Saccharomyces cerevisiae S288C: one gene and its partner. The gene in region 2 interacts genetically with the main gene of each other region. Each region holds a gene or a part of one and is shown on either strand. Other genes may lie near its edges. The genes, in order: GSC2 and SCW4.

The links.
Region 1: of SCW4 (region 2) and GSC2, changing one enhances a phenotype caused by changing the other (phenotypic enhancement), as found in Saccharomyces cerevisiae (one study listed by BioGRID).

Annotation. Positions count from the first base shown.
Region 1 is NC_001139.9:546,386-554,566, reverse strand, and holds GSC2 (1,3-beta-glucan synthase GSC2), read right to left. Parts: upstream 6,304-8,181; coding exon 616-6,303; downstream 1-615. Other genes in the region: TIM21 (Tim21p), read left to right, coding at 1-319; NAG1 (Nag1p), read left to right, coding at 7,267-7,758; IMO32 (Imo32p), read right to left, coding at 7,098-8,126. UniProt on the Saccharomyces cerevisiae protein: Alternate catalytic subunit of the 1,3-beta-glucan synthase (GS) complex. Synthesizes 1,3-beta-glucan, a major structural component of the yeast cell wall. Required for spore wall assembly.
Region 2 is NC_001139.9:1,048,163-1,051,838, reverse strand, and holds SCW4 (putative family 17 glucosidase), read left to right. Parts: upstream 1-1,880; coding exon 1,881-3,041; downstream 3,042-3,676. Other genes in the region: PXR1 (telomerase inhibitor), read left to right, coding at 114-929; U2-type spliceosomal complex subunit CWC22, read right to left, coding at 3,375-3,676. UniProt on the Saccharomyces cerevisiae protein: Glucanases possibly play a role in cell expansion during growth, in cell-cell fusion during mating, and in spore release during sporulation.

The DNA of each region.
Region 1 (8,181 bases), 500 kb from region 2:
AAAAGAAAGATTGAAAGCGTACGGTGAGCTTATAACGAATGACAAATGGACAAGAAACAGGCCTATAGTATCTACCAAAAAATTAGATAAAGAAGGTAGGACACATCACTATATGAGATTCCACGTTGAATCCAAAAAGAAAATAGCGTTGGTTCACTTAGAGGCTAAAGAATCCAAACAGAATTATCAACCTGACTTTATCAACATGTACGTTGATGTTCCCGGAGAGAAGCGTTACTATTTGATCAAGCCAAAATTGCATCCGGTTTCTAATTCGAAGGGCTTTCTGGGAATTAGATGGGGCCCCAGAAAAGATTAAGATCAAATTTGACGGAGTTGCTCAGGTTTTAAATATTCGTAAATGACTGTTATTTCCACGTGTCTTTCTATGTGTATCACCTGTTATACGTGTTGGACCTTACATCTAAAAAAGAAGGAGAACGCCCACCCACATCCAAATATGTTGCAGATCCTACTATATAGCGAGAGGACCGAGCTTCTAAGAAAGTTACAATGAAATAAATATAAACTAGGAAGAATAGAAAGTAAAAATATACTTATGTATTTGCGTGATAAACTTGCTTAGAAACAAAAATAGATTGTAAACTAAAAAAATCATTTGATCGTAGACCAGGTCTTTAAGGATGGCGTATGAGTGTAATAATGACTCTTATAAGTAGACATCTGGGACCCTGTATCATTGTTAGATACGTTCCTTGGTTGAACCAAGTTATGGAAAGTACCCGTCAACCCAGATCCAAGGTCTTTTGGAACATGTGCTGAAGCAACGGCAGGGCCAACGATGCATCCCGCGAATATGATCAGTACCAAAAAGTACAAGCTGCAATACCTCCTAACCATACGTTTACGTAGGCGTGCTTGTTTCAAAGAGTAAATAGGAGGACGGATTTGACGGGATGGTTTTAACCAAAATAACATGATGGAGTGAAACTTATCTATCTTTGGAATACAAATGACTGGTAGTTGGAAGATCAAAATTACATGCCCCAAAACAAAATCCGCTGCAAACTCGGAAAGCTCAATGACTTTTGCAGTCAATTCCCTTGTCGGTTGAGTCCATGCCATATATCCTAAACCGGTGCTGTACCATTTGCCTGTCCAAAAGGCAGTATTAGCGTGATCATTCTTGAACTCACGGGTCAGCAACAGTACAGTCATACAGTGAAAAATCAACCTTTGACATTGTATACATGTAACAACGCCAATCAACATCCTAACAAAACTAAAACCCTCTAAAACCCACATGACAATGAAAAAGACAATATGGACAACAACAGCGATACCGTGAGCGATCCCTGCCATAACAGAACCAGTTTTCTTGCAGCACATGCCCAACAAAGGGCCAGAGCAGCATGACAAACCCATACAGAAGAATAAAACACCAATATCGATAACAATAGGCGCCAAGGTGCAAATGATGATACGTAAGGTGGAATTTACTCTATCTTCATCAGTAGTCTTGACACCAGTTTGTGCATTAATAAACGTGAAGGCAATAAAACAACCTGCTGCGTAAATCGCACACGGTATAATTTCAGCCATAATTAAATTGGTTCTATGAGCCCTGCTTGCATCGCCTGCAGATTTTTCAGACTCATCACCCACCAGTTTGCGCTTGAAACCAGTAACACGAGACCTCGACATTCTTACATAACCAATCCATGAGTTCCTGTGGTACTTATTATTACCTCTTGACAGCCATCTGATATAATCTCTGTAGTCTAGGAAAAAATCTTCCCAAGCAAATTGATGTGGATTGAAAATGAATGGTGCAAAGATTAAGGCTGATAATGATGCCCAAAACCATAATAGTGGAGCTTGCCAATGTGCCACGGTACCAAATAATAACATCAACATTGATCTTGATCCCATATAAATGGCTGAACCCGCAAATCTTGAATAAAGAATAGAGAAAGGTATACGAGATGTAGCAAAGCCACGACCTGTTGAAATATAACGAGCACCACCCACAGCGATATCACTTAACAGTGCTGAAGAATAGATTTGGCCAGCAAAGACTTCAAACATTGGAGATAGAGATAAAATGTGACGGAAAAATCTTTGTGTCGCCTTCCACAGACCACGCTCGATTAATTCCTGAACGACAATAGGGACAAAAGCAATCCAAAAGACGATGAAAATAGAGAGTGTATAACGTCTCACCCAATCAATCGCAGGATGAAAGTTGTAACAACCAATTGGATACAAAACATCAGTAATTGGCTTATCCCTATCGTAAACACACAGAATGGATTCATGAGCCAAAGCATGCAAGTTCACTAAAGTTAACATGAACATCTGCAGAGACAATTGAATAAATAAGTTATTCAAGTGAAACCCTGGATGCGCATAATAAAATGTTAAAAAACGGTCAATAGGTAATTGCGTACCCAAATAATAGTATTCACGAGATAACATTTGTTCACCCATACCAGCACCGATCTTAGTAGTGAAATTCAAAATTGTACCAAAACCTAAATCTCTACCTTTACCACACTGATAATATTCGCAATGCTTGATACGACCACCCCGAAGTACGGCATTCATACCGGCATAAATATCTTCATTTAAATGTAGACCCTTTTGTGCTTTGGAAACACCACCCCTAGTAGTCATGAATGTCGCATTAATAAAATCTGGATGACCATAATGCAATTTACCACCAATCTGTGCCAAAGTACGGGCAAATAATGTACCAAAAGTTTGTTCTTTACCAGCCGCTACATCACCAAGAACACCAGAGTTTTCTGAGAAAATATATTCTCTAGCGCCGACAATTGCAACAGGATGATTTGTGGATTGGTCCTCATATTTTAAACCAGGAGTATAAGGATGAATTTGCTCAATTCCCAATTCTTCAAATTCTGCTAAGACAGACCTGATTTTCAAACACTCTTCCAAGTAATTGTCTTGATTAGCATCAATCAATTGAATATACTCACCTCTGTAAAAAATCAAAGCATGATTTTGATTATCTGATTTACCATCACCAAGAATTGGATTACCGGATAGTTGAACTCTAAATTTGGGACGTCTACGACCATTCTCTAAAATCTCACAATGACCATCAATTAAGGCCGAGTAAATTCTTGGCTCTTCGCCTTCGTTTAAGGGAGGTTCTTCATCCAGGTAGGCAATTTGCAAGTCCGGATAAGCTCTCAACAGGAACTCAGCATTTTCTAGTTCATGTGGTTTAAACTTGGCCAATCTTTGCATCGAAACCAAGAATTTGAATTTTCGCCTTGCCATTTTTTCCAGTTCTCTTTCTAATCCATCAGCATTACCACCGAACATTTGAACGATTTCTGGATTTTCCACACGATAAAGTAATTTTATGGCCCTCGAATAATTCATAAACCCCGAGATTGTGCGATACAAAGTTTGCGACCTTAAAGAGGCCCAGATTCTCGTACGTAAGGTGTATTCTGGTGCAGCAGATTTGAAACCAATACAATAGAAAGGTAAATCATCAATTTGAGATTTCAGAGCGTCTTCCTTTTCAGGTTCATCTTCATTGTTTTCATATGCGGCCGTTTCTTCAGCAAGAATTTTCGTATCCTTAACAAAACAGTCCCATTCTACCGGGTGTAATTGCTTCAGGTATTCCAAAAGAGTAACTCTTGAAAATTGATCATCTTCACGAATAATTTCTCTCAATGATAATAGAATCCTCTCGGCGTAATGGGGAGTTAATACAGTAAATGTTGGCATGTTGTCAACTGGTAGTGGTTCTGGAATTGGAGTGGATAGAGATTGGGCAAAAAATGAAATACGGCGCTCAGCTTCTGAATCTCTAGGGAAAAATTCAGTCTCAAAATTATTGTCATCTTGGGAAACAAAGAAAGTTGGTGCTCTCAAAGTCCTCTTACCTTCAATTTCGGACGGAACCTGATGATATAACAATTTTTGTACATGGTCTATGGCTAATAAATGTTCTCTGTACATGGAGATAATGATAGCATTCCAAATCTGAGAAATTAGTACTTTCGGTTTATATTTTATTTCCATATCAGTAGTAGCCAAGATCTTAGAATAAATTCTTTTTGGCAATCTAGTGAAAATATTTCTCCATGGAGTTAAGATAGAAATACCCAAATAGAACGATTTTCCGACCGAGAAAACAGTGTTAACAACGATATACCACAAGTAGGTATCCAAAAAGAACAAAATGAAGTCAGTCGCAATCATTAAACCTAAAACAATCTTTGGCTGGACCTTACAAATCTTATTACCCCACCAGTATTCACCAGTACATCTCATTGATGTAGTAGATAAAATCCTAATTGGATCTCTTAGTGACAGTATTAGAAAAAAATATGACTCTGCATATTTAGCAGCAAAAACGGTTACCCAAACCAAATAAGACATCCACCTGTCTAAACCATGCAATGGAGCAAAAGATGCGGTGAAGGTCTGTGAGGCAACATAACTTCTTGTGGACTTTTTCATATACGATGTAAATAATCCACCCAATGGCATTACGGAAAAGAAAACAAGTGTTGCCACAGCAACAAAAAACATAACTGCTCCAACGACATGAGCGGCAGTAGAATATACTGTGTCCTTATCATAAGCGAAAACAAATATCACAGGCCCCAAATTAATACCCATAATGACACACAAGAACCAGAATCTACGGGACAAATGTTGAGCACCCGCCCATTTTCTAGGAACGAATGACCACTCGCACAAAGTAGCGGCAACTTGAATCAAACTTGCCACAGTACCACCTAATGCTGCAGTGGCCCATTTATAAGCTGCCAAAGGCTGATTGTCGACCAATTGTTGATAGTTGTGAGTATAAAAAGTTGGAGCATTGTAAGCACAATACATCCAATATACTGAGATGTGCATGATCCAAATACGATTGAAGTTGGTAACTAAATGTAACCAGGAACGTGTTTCTTTGTAAGTTTTAAAGAAGACATCATCCCAGGGAATTTCTCCCAATTTCAAATAACGCTCCTCTGCTGGCAAATCAATCAACCTGGTTCCATCTTCCATGACAATTTTTGCTATACCTTCTGGATACCAGAATAATTGATTGACATCATCATACCCAATAACTTTGTTATGATCTTTTTCACTCTTCACGTATCGACCATCCACGATTTCGTAAACCTGGCTCCTAATAAAACGATAAAGAGGAGTAATAACTCTATTCAAAAAATCACCTTCAGGCAAGGGATCAGGACGTTGTTGACATTGTGCAGAATCTAAGTAATCAGAGGCGCATTTATAAATGAAACAAAGACACTCCGGGGTAAATCTGACTTGATTTGCCTCGCCCCAACATAATAAAAACAAGGCAATTTGACGAACCATTTCAAATGGAGAAAGTTGATTCATCTTTGACTTCCATCTAAAATCCGCAGCTTCTAATGAGTTATCACCCTCAATTTGATTTAAAGTCTCCTCAGTGTCTTCAGGACTAGCCTCTTGCATGGCTTTTTTATTTTTCTTCTTAGCCTTTCTTGCCTTTCTTGATAGCTTACCCAACTTCATATTCCTGAAACCAATTTCATCATCCATATCAAGTTGAGCGGCAAAGTACCATTTTTTGTAGTTGGCCGTATCTCCACCTATGTAGTCTGCATGTAATGATAAAAGGGCCTGTTCTGGAGACATCCTAGAAGATCTAGAGTCCAAAAGGGTCATAAAATGGTCAAACATATTTCTCATGGAATCTCTCTGAAAACCGAATTTATTTGTTAAATCTATGAAGATATCTTCGATTTGTTCGATGGGCAGGGGAGACTGGGGATCTGCGGTCCATGCGGGATATGGATCATTTGGTAAAGCCATTTCAATAGCATTAGGGTCGTAGTACTGGCCATTACCATTAACGACACCATTTCCATAGGGGGTTGAGGCCCCTGAAGAACCATCTTGATCAGGATAACTCATTTGAGAAGGAGTATATTGATCGTTAGGATAAGTGCCGGATGGGGGACCATAGCTGCTAAAATCTGAGAAGTTCTCTCCATCTTGAGAAGACGGGTTCATCATATTGGGGGGTTGGTTATAGTAACTAGCATCGTTATTATAAGGACCTTGGTCTTGTGAAGGATCTTGTCCCTGAGGAAATTGTGTACCGTCAACGTATTGTTCGTTTGGATCATAATAACCATCATCCAGTTGGTTTTGTGTATAGATTGGCTGACCGTACTCATCGTACGCACTTTGATCCTGTGTCACTTGGTACGTAGGGTAATTACCGTCACCAGTCCCATCACCGTTACTGTAATACTGTCCATTCAAGTTTGGATCGTTGTAGGACATAACTATGACAGTTTAATAATTATTTATTGTCCACTTTTTATTTTTTTCCTTTTCTTCTCTTTACAGGAGTGTATCCAAACAGCGCTTCGATTAATCCTTTTGTAACTTCTTTAATATGCCTGCAGAAAATATATGCGGCGTTCTTTGTAACCTTTGATCTTCAGTAGTATCTAGCAAGCACCAAAAAAAAAAAGGAAAAGCAAAAGAGAGATGTAAAAATAAACGAAGGATGCGTGCTGGGTAGACTTTTAGTAGAACTCTAAGTGTGAAGTATATATACAAATAACAAAAATAATATATGAATAAATGCAGTACTTTATGAAACTCTATTCTTAGCACACCAGTTGAAATACACAACGTAAGCTTTTATTTTTGTATCTTGAATTTCGTGTCACACACTCTTTGCGTTCCTGCTCTCTTGTTCTCTGGTGAACTCGAAATAAGCAGTAGAGAAAATAAAGGAGAAACAGGGAAGAAATGGAGAGAACGAACGAGGCTTTATCTCATTTTATTCTACTCTTTGCTATATATACATACGTACACCTCATTTGCATCATACCGCCCAAATTTCTTTAGCCACAATTCCATGTTCGAACCGCGAACGTGAAACTGACGATCTTATCGTATGCATCAGCATCATCTCTTTTGGCGATTTGCCGTTACTAGGCCTTTAAACTGGTGTGGCACTGCCTACACCCCATCACCACTCACACAATAGTCCGTATGTCATGTGCTACGGCAAGCGCACAGCCACCGACTGGTGCTACTGGCACCTTGCTCCGGGGCGCTTGCCTTTAATCCTCGTGCCGCTCCACAAAATCGACGATGCTTTCGGCACATTCCCCAGGCTTCTCCGCATTTACCCAGTGACCCGCATCGATGTCACGTGTTTCAAAGCGTGGAAAGAACGCGCCGATGATCGGAAGATACTCGTCTACCACATAATGCGATTGAGTAGCCCTGATGAATAGCGCAGGCCGCGTCCATCGTTCACGAGCAGGATCTAGGGGCCACGCGGCAATTTCACCTTTGACAATGGCATCTTTCAGTGTTGCGAGGGGAATTCGTTCTTCGAATGTATATGACGACACAGACGATGAATTGTCCATCTTGACCTTTTTCAGCGCCGTTAGGAGAAACCGCCTTACTAGCTCATTGCCGCCGATCCTCTCTGCAAGGTGTTCATCAGCCTGTTTCAGCGTGCGGATAGTTTTGCCCTTGTCGTTGACGATTTCCATCAGCGCTTTGATGTATTCGACAAACTCAGCGTTAGGGCGCAAACTCACCGGAGCGTTCTCTATACAGACTAACATCGAACAAAGTTGCGGGTTTTTCAGGACCAGCATCATGGCAACTTTACCACCCATTGAGTGTCCTATTATAATAGGGCCTCCATTGGTGTTTAATTCGTGCTTTGTGATAAAGTGTTTCACGTCTTCCGACATGACTTCGTAGTTATGGACTGAACTGTGTGGTGAGGATCCATGATTTCTTAGGTCCAGCAGATACACGTCTCTTCCCAATTTCTTGTTAAGGTTACGGCCAATGCTTCGGTTGTTGAGCTTGTTACCGAATAAGCCGTGAAGTATGATAATAGGTGGTCTTGGCTTCCCTTCATCCCCAGTTTTTACTGCATCTCTCTTGATTATGTCATATGAAAGGTCCAGTGGGACTTGCTTTTGTTGCAGCACCTTTGCTAATGAATGAAAGGCACATAGTGACTGCTTAAAAATGCAGGAACTTAAATTATTCCGAATGGTATTTTGTCTCACATATATTGTCCCATACTGTGCCAGGATCCCGGCTTTACCCAGTATCATCATTGTACCGTTACCAATTCTCCTCGTATATCACGGTTAGTTTTTAAACCTCGGGGTG
Region 2 (3,676 bases):
AAAAAAGAAAAGGAAAAAAAAAAAATATGAAAAATTTTGTTCTGAAAGAAGCGATGAGATGAGTACTCAATAGTAACATATAGGCAGCTTACACCATTAAACAAAGAAGCAGAATGGGTTTGGCAGCTACAAGAACCAAACAGCGGTTTGGTTTAGACCCCAGAAATACGGCATGGAGTAACGACACCTCGAGATTCGGGCACCAATTTCTAGAAAAGTTTGGATGGAAACCCGGTATGGGTCTGGGGTTATCCCCCATGAATTCGAACACTTCGCATATCAAAGTGTCAATTAAGGACGACAACGTTGGGCTCGGTGCTAAATTAAAACGTAAAGACAAAAAAGACGAGTTTGATAATGGTGAATGCGCAGGGTTGGATGTCTTCCAGCGAATTCTTGGTAGGCTGAACGGAAAGGAAAGCAAAATATCAGAGGAATTGGACACGCAGAGAAAGCAGAAGATTATTGACGGAAAATGGGGTATCCATTTTGTGAAGGGTGAAGTTTTAGCAAGCACGTGGGATCCAAAGACTCACAAGTTAAGAAATTACTCCAACGCGAAGAAACGAAAGAGGGAAGGAGACGATAGCGAAGATGAAGATGATGACGACAAAGAGGATAAAGACAGTGATAAAAAGAAGCACAAGAAGCACAAAAAGCATAAGAAAGACAAGAAAAAAGACAAGAAGGACAAAAAGGAGCATAAGAAACATAAAAAGGAAGAGAAGAGATTGAAGAAGGAAAAAAGGGCGGAAAAGACCAAAGAAACGAAAAAGACGTCAAAATTAAAATCTAGTGAATCTGCATCCAATATCCCCGATGCGGTAAACACAAGACTATCGGTGCGCTCCAAATGGATAAAACAAAAGAGGGCCGCGTTGATGGACTCCAAGGCACTGAATGAGATCTTTATGATAACAAACGACTAAACATTCCATTGCGTTTCATTGTGTGAGCAGCTGGCCAGTCTGCACACGCAGCAAGATATATAGAGTGGGGAAAAATTCTTCCCCGGTGCCAAAGAAAAAAGCAAATAAAAATGAAAAAAAAAAATGTGTGCCAGTACGACAGCATACCGCAACGAGTTTTTACATACATGATTAAACTAGTAAGTAATATTATAAGTATTTATTGAACTTATTGCGCCACGACTTCTGCCCCTGCAAAACCTTCAGCTTTATTAGGTGGGTTTGATGGAAGATAGTAGAGCAAGTGGAAAGCATAACATCGCTAACGTCTTCCACACCCTCCATAAAGCCGCTGCATGAATGATAAACGGGCTCAATTCGTATCAGTGTAACCAAATCCATCAATTAACGCCCAATCGAGCTCGTTAACTCCATTTTGGGAAAGAATCAAGATGCCTAGCCCGGCCTAATCGAGATGCATCCACAAACGACCCTGCACGGTCATTTCCCAGAGGGTTTTGTAATTTGTAGGCACCGCTTTTCGCGCGACACCCTGCTGCAATAGGATCTTCTCCCTAGAAACACGCGCAACGCACCTCTTTTCCCTTTTCGTTTAGCCTCTCCAAATGAGGAAAATAGGCACATGATTCCTTTTCACGCGCATTTTTTTCAGAAATTTTCTCTTGTGGTGTTGTTTCAAAAACGGCACCGTTGTTTTTGTTTTTTTTTTTCTGTTTTCTCCCATTCCTCGAGGAGAAGATCTCTGTTTTATAAAACTAATAGATATGTATTCTTTATCTTCTGTCATAATTGTTTTCTGTTTAGTAGTTCTTTTAGCCCTTATTCTATTCTTTTAATAGTGTTTACACAAAGGTCCAGCTAGATATCTAACTAAATCCAACTAAGTCATTCTTTTACATCTACAATCGTTTATATACTAGCAAGCCATACCGAAAAGCAAACTAGAAAAATATGCGTCTCTCTAACCTAATTGCTTCTGCCTCTCTTTTATCTGCTGCTACTCTTGCTGCTCCCGCTAACCACGAACACAAGGACAAGCGTGCTGTGGTCACTACCACTGTTCAAAAACAAACCACTATCATTGTTAATGGTGCCGCTTCAACTCCAGTTGCTGCTTTGGAAGAAAATGCTGTTGTCAACTCCGCTCCAGCTGCCGCTACCAGTACAACATCGTCTGCTGCTTCTGTAGCTACCGCTGCTGCTTCCTCTTCTGAGAACAACTCACAAGTTTCTGCTGCCGCATCTCCAGCCTCCAGCTCTGCTGCTACATCTACTCAATCTTCCTCTTCCTCCCAAGCTTCTTCCTCTAGTTCTTCCGGCGAAGACGTCAGCAGCTTTGCCTCTGGTGTCAGAGGTATCACTTATACCCCATACGAGTCCAGCGGTGCTTGTAAATCCGCTTCGGAAGTTGCTTCCGATTTAGCTCAATTGACTGACTTCCCAGTCATTAGATTGTACGGTACCGACTGTAACCAAGTTGAAAATGTTTTCAAGGCTAAGGCTTCGAACCAAAAAGTCTTTTTAGGTATTTACTACGTTGACCAAATCCAAGACGGTGTCAACACCATCAAGTCTGCTGTTGAATCTTACGGTTCTTGGGACGATGTCACCACTGTTTCCATTGGTAACGAATTGGTTAACGGTAACCAAGCTACCCCATCCCAAGTCGGTCAATACATTGACTCTGGTAGATCTGCCTTGAAGGCTGCCGGTTACACTGGTCCAGTTGTTTCTGTTGATACTTTTATTGCTGTGATCAACAACCCTGAATTGTGTGACTACTCCGACTACATGGCTGTTAATGCCCATGCTTACTTTGACAAGAACACAGTTGCCCAAGACTCCGGTAAATGGTTACTAGAACAAATCCAAAGAGTCTGGACTGCTTGTGATGGTAAGAAGAATGTTGTTATCACTGAGTCTGGTTGGCCATCAAAGGGTGAGACTTACGGTGTTGCTGTTCCATCTAAGGAAAATCAAAAGGACGCTGTTTCCGCCATTACCAGCTCCTGTGGTGCTGATACCTTCTTATTCACTGCCTTCAACGACTACTGGAAGGCCGACGGTGCTTACGGTGTTGAAAAATACTGGGGTATTCTATCCAATGAATAAGTCTACTCAATTGTAAAAAAAAACAAAAAAAATCTTGATTTAAAAAACGATACCCAATATTTTTAACTTTAAATTAAGGCTTTGATAATCTTCTTTTTCTCTGTTATATCAAAGGACTGCTTTCTGGTTTGCCTTCGCTAATCTTTTTTTTTTTTTTTCATTTTCCTATTTTAGTTCGTTTATGATCTCATTTGTATTTCTGTATATTTGTCTTAATACGAAATACGAGTTTTTATTTTATATTCTACCTTTCTTTTTTTTTTGGCTAAAAGCGTGTACGGTTCTATGTAAATATGTACGATTACATGTGTAATGTTTGTTTGGCCGGGCTCTTCATCTATGCCGTTGCCTTCTTGCAGGCGGAGTCCTGGATCTGTTACGATGGTTTCTCGATCCTCTTGGTGGAGTTCTGGATCTAGCACGTTTTCTTGTTTCCACTGTGAATGGCGATCTTGATCTACTATTTTCTCTGGTGTCCTTCTGTAAAAATAACCTGGATTCGTGAATTTTTGGCCCTTGGGTTGGTTGTGACTCTCTGGCCTTCTTCCGTAACTTTTCAAGTTCCTCCTCTTCTCTCAATTTTTTTTCTTCTTCCTCTGCATCCTCAACTTCTTGAATAATTGTCAACCGGCTTC